Linked DNA regions of Drosophila melanogaster. The protein of the gene in region 1 interacts with the protein of each later gene in a pairwise test. Each region holds a gene or a part of one and is shown in the gene's direction. Other genes may lie near its edges.

The links.
Region 2: the proteins of CG13502 (region 1) and Ip259 interact in a two-hybrid assay, tested with the Drosophila melanogaster proteins (one large-scale study listed by BioGRID).
Region 3: the proteins of CG13502 (region 1) and CG32706 interact in a two-hybrid assay, tested with the Drosophila melanogaster proteins (one large-scale study listed by BioGRID).

Annotation. Positions count from the first base shown.
Region 1 is NT_033778.4:22,085,099-22,089,741, reverse strand, and holds CG13502 (uncharacterized protein), read left to right. Parts: upstream 1-2,320; 5' UTR 2,321-2,455; coding exon 2,456-3,013; intron 3,014-3,175; coding exon 3,176-3,850; 3' UTR 3,851-3,960; downstream 3,961-4,643.
Region 2 is NT_033779.5:10,406,152-10,410,221, forward strand, and holds Ip259 (intronic protein 259), read left to right. Parts: upstream 1-2,200; 5' UTR 2,201-2,235; exon of another isoform or gene 2,236-2,470; intron 2,471-2,587; 5' UTR 2,588-2,615; coding exon 2,616-3,395; 3' UTR 3,396-3,459; downstream 3,460-4,070. Other genes in the region: Ir31a (ionotropic receptor 31a), read left to right, coding at 1-286, 348-1,151, 1,213-1,499, 1,695-1,834, 1,895-1,977; RpS27A (ribosomal protein S27A), read left to right, coding at 3,580-3,900.
Region 3 is NC_004354.4:9,085,069-9,088,684, forward strand, and holds CG32706 (uncharacterized protein), read left to right. Parts: upstream 1-2,060; 5' UTR 2,061-2,175; coding exon 2,176-2,470; intron 2,471-2,543; coding exon 2,544-2,941; 3' UTR 2,942-3,005; downstream 3,006-3,616. Other genes in the region: APC4 (anaphase promoting complex subunit 4), read left to right, coding at 1-633; CG32708 (uncharacterized protein), read left to right, coding at 917-1,250, 1,329-1,714; CG6999 (uncharacterized protein), read left to right, coding at 3,403-3,616.

The DNA of each region.
Region 1 (4,643 bases):
CCAGGCCACCGTTACGAGGGCAGGACAAATAAAATTGTTTCGTCACGCCACCGCGAAGGTTGCCAGTCGCTGTCGGAATGAGGCTGGCGCACGCAAGACCAGGCCAACCGCCAACCGCCTGGAACCACCCACACCCAGCCACGAATCCATCCATCCATCCATACATCCACCAGCCCTAACCCACTTTCCCTCACGTGCTCCACCTTTACGACCTGCTCAAACATCAAGCTTATTTATTTACTCTAAAAACAATACCGGAAAATTAATAGCAATTTGTTGGGGTTCATAAATTTGTCGAAATAAATGTCCTTAACTGGCGAATGTACTTCCCCTCACTACCGCACCAACCCAAATGGGTGGAAGAGGGGTTCTTTCGGTGGTGGTGCTGCCAAATGGGTTTCACCTGCTGCAAATCGATTGTCTGACTCCTTCTCCGTTGGCCTTCTCTTATCAGCCGGGCTCGGGTGCGTGACTCCCCGTCCGGAGTTGGGTTTTAATTTTGATGACTTCAATTAACTGCGTGTAAATGCGGTGAATCCGCCTTTTCAGCGATCCAAAGTCTACACAGAAAGAAGGGATTATGTAAAAAACAATTGTTTGTTTTATATTTTTTTCGAGTTTTATTATTGTTAAAGTGAAATAGAGTTCATGTAACATGTATAATTGACACTGCACATTATGTGATCTAATCACCATAAACAAATAATTTTCTGTTATTAAAGTCACAGCTGATGACAAAATGAATCAGCTAGTAGATGTTTCATAACAAAAACTAATATTTTGTGGTATCCAAAGGATATTGTGGCTTTTCAGAATGCTCAGAAGGGTTTGTTGAGATATTAATGAAACTTTATTGAAGTTTATTGCTGCTTGTCAGCGCATGTAAACTGGTATACAAAGTAAAGAAAAGCCGGAACCCCTGAGTTGCAGCTTGTGATGGGGTGCCTTTTCCATGGATTGGGGGTCTAGAAGCGAGCCAAGTTGGGTCAAATGCAAAGTGAAGGCACATAATTCAGTTGCTCAACGACAACCGTCGCGTTCAGACGTCAATTTTAGACTACGGAGTGAAGAAGTCACAGGCTTGAAGGGTGAAAAATGTGAAACTACTACGATACACCATCTCAATAAGCCACTATAACTACTTAACAATACCGAATTTAAAATGCCGCGCAAGAAACCGAAGGTCGATACTCTCGAGGAGATCGAGACCAATATTAAACTGCTATGCGATCAATCCAATAACCACATGAAGGTTCGGGCCTACGAGAAGGCTTTGTTTGGATACAACCAGGTGTGTTGGGAAACTTACTAGCCACAGTTAAGACTAGGCAGAATTATTTCCATCAAATAATAAAGTGCAATTGGGAATACCATCTCCGAATTGCACTATAAATAATGTTTGATAAACTTTACACAAAGTGAATCATTTAAATTAGACACAGTTGAGGATATTTGAAACGGGTTTTATCGCATTTAAAAAATATGTAATTAAGATAAAAGTAATCTATGTACTTTTATTTAATTTCATAATTTTCGAAAAGTACATAAAAACGAAGGCGGTGATATTTTATGTGTTTCATTTTCACTTTTAAGCATTTAATGCTTTGTTCGTGAAGAAGGATAATCACTTAGCGGGAAAGGACATCCGCTAAAAGCTCCTGAAAGCTTCGCACAGGTTTTAGTTCACAACAAAGGAGCACAGTTTGACATTCTTAACGTAGTTGAACAAGCACCTGTAGAGTAACACCATATAGAAACACTATAGAAAGGCTTTTTTTATAGCCAAGATTGTTCAAGTGTTTAATGATAAGTTTTAGTTTACATTAAGGTTTTTTTGTTACATTTTTTTATATTACTCATACGACACGTATGCCAATTTATTCCTCTATGCTAGCAAACAAAAAACGTATTGAGAAAAGATACCGTTGATAGTTTTAGTGTTATAAAGGAGCTACTTTAATATGCGTAATTTTAAGGAAATTAAAGTCCCCCTCAAAACATATCAAGAAAGTTACTCATACGCCCCGTAAGCCAGTCATGGTTAACAAAATCCCAACTCGATTCCTTAAGCATTAACCAAAAAATTAGTTTAAAATATGATAATCTCGAGGACCACTGAGAAAAGAGGATAGATCGGAGTGGATATGCATTCTCACCTTCTAATAGGGCGTCCCCAAGGTCGTGACCCACATGGAGGCCATTGTTCTTGGCATTCACACCGCCAAACGACACGACACCTGGTGCCTGACACCTGATATGTAGCACCTGGCACAGCACGAGTGGTTGTTTTGTTATCGATTGCTAACCCATTTGGTGGCGCCAGTTTCCTGGCAACAACCCATTATAGCGCCAATCAATTGGCTAGTGATTTGGTCAGAAGTTGAGTTTTTTGGATTACTCCAATCGTCGGACGTTGAAGATTCTTCCCAGCGATTGCCAAGGGTATTATAAGGATATGTCGAACGTGCTGAACACCATTCTTGCTGTGGACAAGGAGCAGGAACTGCTGCAAAGCTTCATACGCACCGGAGCAGCGGCTGAGGAGGAGTCACAGGATGAGACCAATCGGCGGTCCAAGGGTCGCTCCCACAAGCCTCCCATCTGGGAGAGGCGCGAGTCCACTGATCGGGGCGGACGCGGTGCTGGACGGGATGGAAAGCAGGGGGATGACGGAGGAGCTGGGGGAGGAGCAGGAGGCGACGCTGCGGGCGGCAAGCGGGGCAATCGCATTGAGGCCGAACTTAGGGCGGCACGCAAAAAGATCGAGGAGCAGATCGCCAAGAAGAAGAAGCCCAAGGAGAACTTCGTCGACTTCTACACGGACAAAGATCGGGCGGCAGCGGTCAGCGCTGGTGCATTTGACATCAAGCAGAGTCTCCAGATCAAGCAGAAGCAGGACCGCAACGAGGCACTGCTCATCCCGGACGAGGCGGACATCAGTTCGGTGATCGCACTGGGGCTCAAGGAGATCAAGAATGCCAATCCCGAGAACGCCATACACTTTTTTTGCAAGGTGCTCCTGGTTTCATTATTGGAACTGTTCAGATTTCAGAGTCATCTAGTTAAGCAGGTTTTCTCTTTTTAATAGAATCTATACCGCTGTTAAGTCCCGTTTAGTTTTCTAAGATCTGCCATAACATATTAAAAACTAGCTAACAAAACCTTAAAATTTCAGGCTCTTGAGCTGAATAGCACCGACATCAATGCTTTGATTTCGCGTAGCAAGTGCTACTTGTTGCTGGGCGAGGCTTCCAAGGCACTGCAGGATGCGGAGACGGCTCTTGGAGAGGACAAGAACAACATTCGGGCCATCTACCAGAAGGCTGAGTCGCTGTACTACCTCGGTCAGTTCGAGCAGAGCCTGATGTTCTTCCATCGCGGTCTGAGGGCTCGTCCGGAACTGGCTTTGTTTCGCCTGGGCGTTCAGAAAACGCAGGAGGCCATCGAGAACACCATCGGCAGCAAGCCGGGTCCACCAGGACCAACAGCATCTGTTCCCAAGAGCGGAAAGTCACGGAAGTCCGGCGAGGATACACCTAAATCCCAGGCAGCGGGAGCAACGGGGACCAGTGCCAGGACGCGGCAGAAACCCAGTCGAGCGGATCTGGAACGACGCAACGCCCGCAAGCTGCTGGGCGAACTGTGCGTGGACAAGGAGTACTTGGAGAAGTTGCTGCTCCATCCGGATTTGGTCCGCGCGGACACACACACGGAGAGCATCTCCGCGTACGCCCGCGAGGCGGTGGAGTTTCTCAACAAACGGCAGGAGTTCTGGCGCCAACAGCGTCCCTGCACGGCGCTGCCCAACCATAAGAACCTGCCCCATGACGCTCTGCCCAAATGGTTCTAGTCCATCCAGCTGCCCAATACTACTGACTTGTTCAGCTCCCGGTGTTAAGTTTCTGTTTGAATTGAGTTGGCTTGATAAGCTGGTATTGAATAAATAAATCAATTAATTACGAAAACTCTCAGGTAATTTTACTTGACTCTTGTATTGAGTTTTATTAACTTCCAATGCATTTTGCGAATATTCACTTGGAGCAGCGACTACGACGGTCCAACTTTTTTATTTTGTAGTATGCTACTTGGTTAATCTTAGGCGTAACTTCAACTTTTGAACAGAGCAATTGGAATTTCTCAATTACATTGATATATATTTGTAGTCAACTGAAACAGAAATCCGGATGTAGCCTCAAATTGACGGAATACAACGATAGTTTAACAATGTGGAATAATATGTAATTTATCTCAATAGTTGTTCAATAACAATGGATACATGTGTTTGGGTGTGTCGCTCGAATCGGAATCTTTTACAGAGTTCTATTGCTTCTTCAGTTTTTATAACTTTACTTCATAATTTGACTAGTACGGCTATAATTTATTTAAACATTACATTTATGCAGATTAGTGTAATACTTTGTCGCCCATATACTTCATTATATTCATTCTTCGCCCTCGGCAAATCCGGTGCAATTGGGTTGAGTACGTCTGGCCAGTAAGTAAAAAAAAAAAAAAGAGAGTACCGGAGTGGGGTAGTTTGGGCTTTAGCTATGTGGAACTTATTTGTTTACTTTAAATTCAGTTTGATTCCGGCTAGAAACTATCGAAACAAACAAACAGGTAGTAACATAGATTCCATGCGA
Region 2 (4,070 bases), on another chromosome or scaffold:
TCAGTGGTTTCTCTGGGGTGTTGATCTCGAGGTTCAATCCCTATTTCCTTTAAATCTCAACTATGTTGGTCCCAACGCCCAGATAACCTATGTTAATGAAACCGCAGATGGTTATGCGTACTGGGATATTCATTCGAAAGGACGACACTTGAAGTCGAATTTGGAAATAAATTTAATAGCAACATTGATAAACGATACATTGAATATAGCTCGCGATATTTTCCATTTGCAAAGTATTGATTTTCGCGGACAATTTAATGGATTAACTCTAAGAGGAGCAAGTGTTGTAAGTAATGAATAAGTACTATAACTCATTAGATTTTAGCCATTTCAATTATGGATACTAGATCGACAAGGAGGATATAATCTCAAATGAACAAATTGAATCAATACTTTCGCGACCAACTAAGGATGCTGGAGTGGCTGCATTCATAAAGTATCACTACGAGCTTCTGGGACTTCTGAGAGAACGTTTCAATTTCACTGTTAACTTCCGAAATTCTAGAGGATGGGCTGGACGTTTGGGCAATACTACCTTTCGACTTGGACTCTTGGGAATAGTTATGCGAAATGAGGCAGATATAGCCGCATCCGGTGCCTTCAATCGAATTAATCGCTTTGCTGAGTTTGATACCATACACCAAAGTTGGAAATTTGAGACAGCTTTTCTATACCGCTACACTTCCGATTTGGATACTCATGGAAAAAGTGGTAACTTTCTGTCGCCATTCAGCGACAGAGTTTGGTTGTTCTGTCTATTAACCCTTGGTGCTTTTAGCATCATTTGGGTGCTATTTGAAATTATCGACTACAAGATATTGCGTATACGAGTTAATAGTCAAAAGCTGGAACATTTAAATCAGAAAAGTTCGGTGATTTGCATTAAGACCACATGCATTGAACGAATTTTACAGACATTTGGAGCCTGCTGCCAACAGGGATTGGACCCAAATCCTGTAGATCGTTCAGTGCGCTTTTTGGTAATGACACTGTTCCTATTCTCCCTGGTTATGTACAACTATTATACGTCTTCCGTCGTGGGCGGATTGCTTAGTTCTTCAGATCAGGGTCCCTCTACAGTCGACGAAATAACTGCAAGCCCCTTGAAAATATCATTCGAAGACATTGGTTACTACAAAGTCTTATTCCGAGTAAGTTCGTTGAAAACATTATATGTATATTTATATTACCATTACTCGATTTACTTAACAGGAGAGTCAAAATCGATCTATTACAAGATTAATAGAGAAAAAGCTGTCTTCGTCAAGAAGTTTAAATGAATTGCCAATTTTTAGCCATATTGAGGATGCTGTCCCATATCTCAAAGCCGGCGGATTTGCTTTTCATTGCGAAGTGGTGGACGCTTATCCGGTGATTTCAGAATATTTTGATGCCAACGAGATCTGTGATCTGCGTGAAGTCTCCGGTCTGATGGAGGTCGAAATTTTGAATTGGATTTTACACAAGAACAGCCAGTATACCGAGATTTTCAAAACAGCGTAAGTATTGAGTCATTCGCATGGTTTTGGTTTGATTCTGTCTTTGCTTAACTGGCCAAAAAGAACTGTTTTTTTTTAACCCGGTCTTATTCCACATCAGTATATTTCCCAAACATTCCTTGGGAAGTAAGATAGTTTTATAATTATTTTATAATAGTTATATAATTGTAATAAACTCTATATTTTCTTTTGTAGTATGTGTAATGCCCAGGAAAAAGGTTTTGTAGAGCGCATTCTTCGACGGCGGCAAATTAAAAAGCCAGCCTGTCAATCATTATACACCGTTTACCCTGTAAGCTTGTCAGGAGTGCTACCTGGATTTGTTATTTTAATTTGTAAGAGTATTAACAAATTTTCCTAGAACTTAAATTTGTATACATGTTTTTATTTAATAGGCGGATTTGGAGCATCGCTTCTACTTTTGTGCTTGGAAAAAGTATATGCACATTTTGGACCACGAAAATTTTGCGGTTTTTAAATTTTTATTTTGTGTTTCCTTTATGATGATTTTTTTGATTTGTTTTATTTTATAATTTTTGTAATAAGGAAAAGTGTATTGGATATGGCTTCTGGTTCATCCCAGTTTATGTTCCATTCCACGCGTTCCAAAAATAAACGCGTAGTTCAAAATATAAACAAAAGTAAACTCCGAATGCAGCCCTGTGCTCAATTTTTCAACTTCCTGTCACGCTGTGTGTGTGTTCTTTCTTTCCTTTGATTCTGTTGCCGAAGCAAGGTAAGTTTTTGGGGTTGTTACATTTTAAGCATCGGTTAAGTGAAAATAAACATACAAATACATACTTAAAGTAGTCCTTAACACTTGTAAACTCTTACGAGTGAAATACATGACAATTGTTGATTGAACAATGAGAATGATTGCAGTGCACATGTAAAATTGACAAGCAATCAAAATTGCTAAAAGATACCCGTGAACAAAAAAAATATTGTGACATTTAAATTTATACATTAAGGTAAGTGAATTTCCGCGTGATTAGTTATCTGTGGATGGCCACAGAGGCTTCCCCAGGAAACAAATTTCGCACACCCCCAACCGTCCACATGTTAATAACCACATGAATGTATTTCAGATCTGGTCTACAGAATTAACAATTAACAATGCCGCAGAATGAGTATATGGAACGCCATCGCAAGCTGTATGGCCGGCGATTGGATTACGAGGAACGGAAACGCAAGAAGGAAGCGCGTCTTCCCAAGGACCGAGCACGAAAGGCTCGCAAGTTGCGCGGCATCAAGGCCAAACTCTTTAATAAGGAGCGACGCAATGAAAAGATTCAGATTAAGAAGAAGATCCAGGCCCACGAAGAGAAGAAGGTCAAAAAGCAGGAGGAGAAGGTCGAGGATGGAGCCCTGCCGCATTATCTGCTCGACAGAGGCATCCAGTCCAGCGCCAAGGTCCTGTCCAATATGATCAAGCAGAAGCGCAAGGAGAAGGCAGGCAAGTGGGACGTGCCCATTCCCAAAGTACGCGCTCAGTCAGATGCTGAGGTCTTCAAAGTACTAAAGACCGGAAAGACAAAGCGAAAGGCATGGAAGCGCATGGTCACAAAAGTCACATTCGTCGGTGAGAACTTCACACGCAAGCCACCAAAGTTCGAGCGTTTCATTCGACCCATGGGTCTGCGCATGAAGAAGGCTCACGTTACGCATCCAGAACTGAAAGCCACCTTCAATCTGCCCATCATTGGCGTCAAGAAGAACCCCAGCTCGCCCATGTTCACTTCCTTGGGTGTAATTACAAAGGGTACTGTGATCGAAGTCAACATCTCTGAGCTGGGTTTGGTAACGCAAACGGGAAAAGTTGTCTGGGGCAAATACGCTCAGGTCACGAACAATCCAGAAAACGATGGTGTTATCAATGCAGTGCTGCTTGTCTAACCCCGAAAATGTCGCTACCTAATTTAAGAGTTTGATTTAATAAACAAACATATACAATAACATGAACAATCGTTTGATTCTCTTAGCTTATTATACTATTAGCTGTAGCAATGCCATATATATAAACACACATATCTATACCAACATCTTTTTGTTTCTTGCAGTTTGGTGACTGGAATACAAGATGCAGATCTTCGTTAAGACCCTCACGGGCAAGACCATCACTCTTGAGGTCGAACCGTCGGATACTATCGAAAATGTCAAAGCCAAGATTCAGGACAAAGAAGGAATTCCTCCAGATCAGCAGCGTCTGATCTTCGCTGGCAAGCAGCTGGAAGATGGCCGCACCCTCTCTGACTATAACATTCAGAAGGAGTCCACTTTGCACTTGGTGCTCCGCCTGCGTGGTGGTGCCAAGAAGCGCAAGAAGAAGAACTACTCCACTCCCAAGAAAATCAAGCACAAGAGGAAGAAGGTCAAGCTAGCTGTCCTGAAATACTACAAGGTACACACAACAATCTACCGACACCATACCGAAAACATTCTGATCTGTTCTTGGAATTCTTGAGTCTTGGTCTTGTGCTCATTGGCTTAAGATTTGGATATCAGAGTGACTTTACCAGTGCCCTATATTGAATGAACATGTGTACGATCTCAGTATTTAATCACTTTCTA
Region 3 (3,616 bases), on another chromosome or scaffold:
CATAGGGACAGGGATCTCGTCACCTGCACCTATTACGTTAACGAAGCGTCCAGGACCGACATGTTGGCCTGCACCATCAGCGGGCAGGAGGCCATGATACTCGAGTTTAGTCGAGCGGGCGATGAATGCGTGCGCTGCACTAGAATTACACTGGAGCCAGGATTATTTACAACATCCGTGTCCGAAGATTTCTGTTACCTACGCTTCGTCGACCTGCAGTTCTACAATGAATCTTCGCTATCGATACTGGCCCAGTCCATAAATGCGGGACCTGGCATGCGACCGCATAGCTTCTTTATACAATTCTCACTGACCGCGGCGCTGAATTACAGCACACAGCACCGAATGGGACCGTTGGTCAAGCTGAGCGAAGCCACCGTGTCGCAAAGCATCCATGACATTGCCGATGGTGCCGCCTTCAAGGGACTGGACGGATTTAGCGACATGTTGGCCGTCTCGGGCAGCAGGAAGGTGGCCACCGTTCTCTCCGATCGCAAGCGCAAGATGACCATTTTTGAGATGGAAATCGAGGAGGAGGAGGATGACACGGAAATGTCCCAGGCCTCGTTTCTGGACATCAGCAAAGAGTCTGTGCTGGCTGGCGTTCCCGATGCGGAGAAACAGGAGGCGTAGTCTTGAATCTATTGAATTTAAATTATATTGATTGTTGTGTGATAACTTAAAATGTTTCCAATAATTTTATATTTTACAATTCGTAAAGGCATTGGTGGTAGAAAAGAATGGTTAAAATTCTTGTTACGATTTGTCCGTTAAAATAGGGCTGAATAAATAATCTGTTACAAAGTGCTTTTGAACCAACCAACTCATCGATAGCTCTTCGATAAAAACGTACACTGACATCGCCTGACAACTGTCATCCCTAATAGCGTGCACTACACAGAGAACGAAATCAACAATGAAGAATATAAAAAATAAATCAAAGCCAAAGCGCAAGCCCACTCCCATGGAAGTAGAGGAGGCTGAGCTAGACGAGGTGCGCTCGGATGAGCCGCAGCCAGGGGAAGGTGAAACTGCGAATGGGGAGGCAAATCCCTCGGATGACGACGATGATATGGATCTGGCCAACTTTAAAGCCACCTCCAGTTCCTCGGCCCCCGCGAAGAAACGCAAGATGGGGATCATCTACATATCCAACATACCCAAGCATATGAACGTGACCCGCCTGCGGGAAATCTTGGGCGAGTACGGCGCCATCGGCAGAGTTTACCTACAGCCAGAGAAGCTGTCAAGTGAGTGGACCAAGTGGCATACATATAAGACCCACTGATTACCCACTAGTGTATATACTTTAATCTCAATTACTTTAGGTGCCAAAGCGAAGAAGAACAAGCGTAAGCGTTATAATATCCACTTCACCGAGGGCTGGGTGGAATTTAAGTCGAAACGTGTGGCCAAACAGATCGTTCCACTGCTGAACAACAAGCAGATATCCGGTCGCAAGACGTCCCAATTCTATGACTCGCTATGGAGCATGAAGTACCTGCCGCGCTTTAAGTGGGTCCATCTAACCGAGCGCATGAACTACGAGCAGGCGGTTCACAAGCAACGCCTACACACTGAGGTCTCGCAGGCCCGCAAGGAGACCACCTTCTTCCAGAACAATCTCGACAAGAGCGAGTTCATCAGGAAGCAGGCGAAGAAGGCCAAGAATGCGGAAAAGGCTCTGGCTGCCAAGAGCGACAGCGATGCCTGAGTTCGCGCTAGACTGTTGCATTCAATGTTTACCTGACTGCAAATATACTTATATTAAGTAGATCAAATAAAAATCTTTAAATAATTAGGCGCGCAAAATTATTTGAAATTAGGGCCCCTGCATATCGATAATTTCGTCGATTGTGTGTGCGTGTTAATGCTACTTCAGCTACTCAAGCTGAAGGAGGCCACTGTAACGCACAGGGATGGTTAAGATTTCTCGATTAAAATAGGGCTGAGTAAATCAAATGTTCTGTTACAAAGTGTTTTTAAAGCGATATGCTTTTCTAATGAAAGGGTACCAACACATCGATAGCTCTTCGATAAAAACGTCAACTGACATCGCCTGTCAACTGTCATACCTGATTGCGTACATTACAAAATATATTCGATCCAGCTAAAACGAAAGCTACAATGAAAAAAATAATTAATACATCAAAGCCAAAGCGCAAGTCCACTTCCATGAAAGTGGAGGAGACTAAGCTAGGCGAAGTGCGCTCGGGTAAGCCGCAGACAAAGGAAGGTGAGTCTGCAAATGGGGTAGCAAATCCCTCAAATGACGATAAAAAGGAGCTGGCCAATTTCAAAGCCACCTTCAATTCCTGGGCCCCCGAGAAGAAACGCGAGAAGATGCACAAGGTAGGCGTCATCTTAATATCCAACATACCCAAGGACATGGACGGGGACTGCCTGAAGGAAATCATGAACTTGCACAGCGTCGTCGGCAGAGTTTACGTGCAGCCGGAAACGCTGTCAAGTGAGTGGACCAAGTGGCATGCACAAATGACCCACTGATTACCCAGTATAAACTTTTATCTCAATTACTTTAGGTTTCAAGACAAAGAAGAACATGCGTAAGGGCTGGGTGGAGTTCATTTCGAAAAGTGGGGCCAAAAAAATCGCTCTAGAGCTGAACAATAAGCCTATAACCGATGGCAAGTCGTCCCGATTCCGTGGCTTGCTGTGGAAAATGAAGTTCCTGCCACGCTTCAAGTGGTACTATCTAACCGATCGCATGGACTACGAGCTGGCGGTTTGCAAAGTTCGCGTATGGTCGCAGGCCCGCAAGCGGGCCACCTTCTTGTACGATCCCGACCAGATGGAGTATTTCAAGAAGCAAGTGAAGAAGATGAAGAAGGTCAAGAAAGCGGAGATGGCTACCAGGAATGCGGAGATGGCTGCCAAGAAAGCGGAGATGGCTGCCAAGAAATTGAAGAAGTCTGCCTGAGTTCACGCTAGACCTTTGCTTCCAATGTCTACCTGACTGCAAATATACTTCAATTAAGTAAATCAAATCAAAATCTTTAAATAATTAGGCGCGCAAAATTATTTGAAATTAGGGCCCCTGCATATCGATAATTTCGCCGATTGTGTGTGCGTGTTAATGCTACTTCAGCTACTCAAGCTGAAGGAGGCCACTGTAACGCACAGGGATGGTTAAGATTTCTCGATTAAAATAGGGCTGAGTAAATCAAATGTTCTGTTACAAAGTGTTTTTAAAGCGATATGCTTTTCTAATGAAAGGGTACCAACACATCGATAGCTCTTCGATAAAAACGTCAACTGACATCGCCTGTCAACTGTCATACCTGATTGCGTACATTACAAAATATATTCGATCCAGCTAAAACGAAAGCTACAATGAAAAAAATAATTAATACATCAAAGCCAAAGCGCAAGTCCACTTCCATGAAAGTGGAGGAGACTAAGCTAGACGAGGCGCGCTGGGGTAAGCCGCAGACAAAGGAAGGTGAGTCTGCAAATGGGATAGCAAATCCCTCAAATGACGATAAAAAGGAGCTGGCCAATTTCAAAGCCACCTTCAATTCCTGGGCCCCCGAGAAGAAACGCGAGAAGATGCACAAGGTAGGCGTCATCTTAATATCCAACATACCCAAGGACA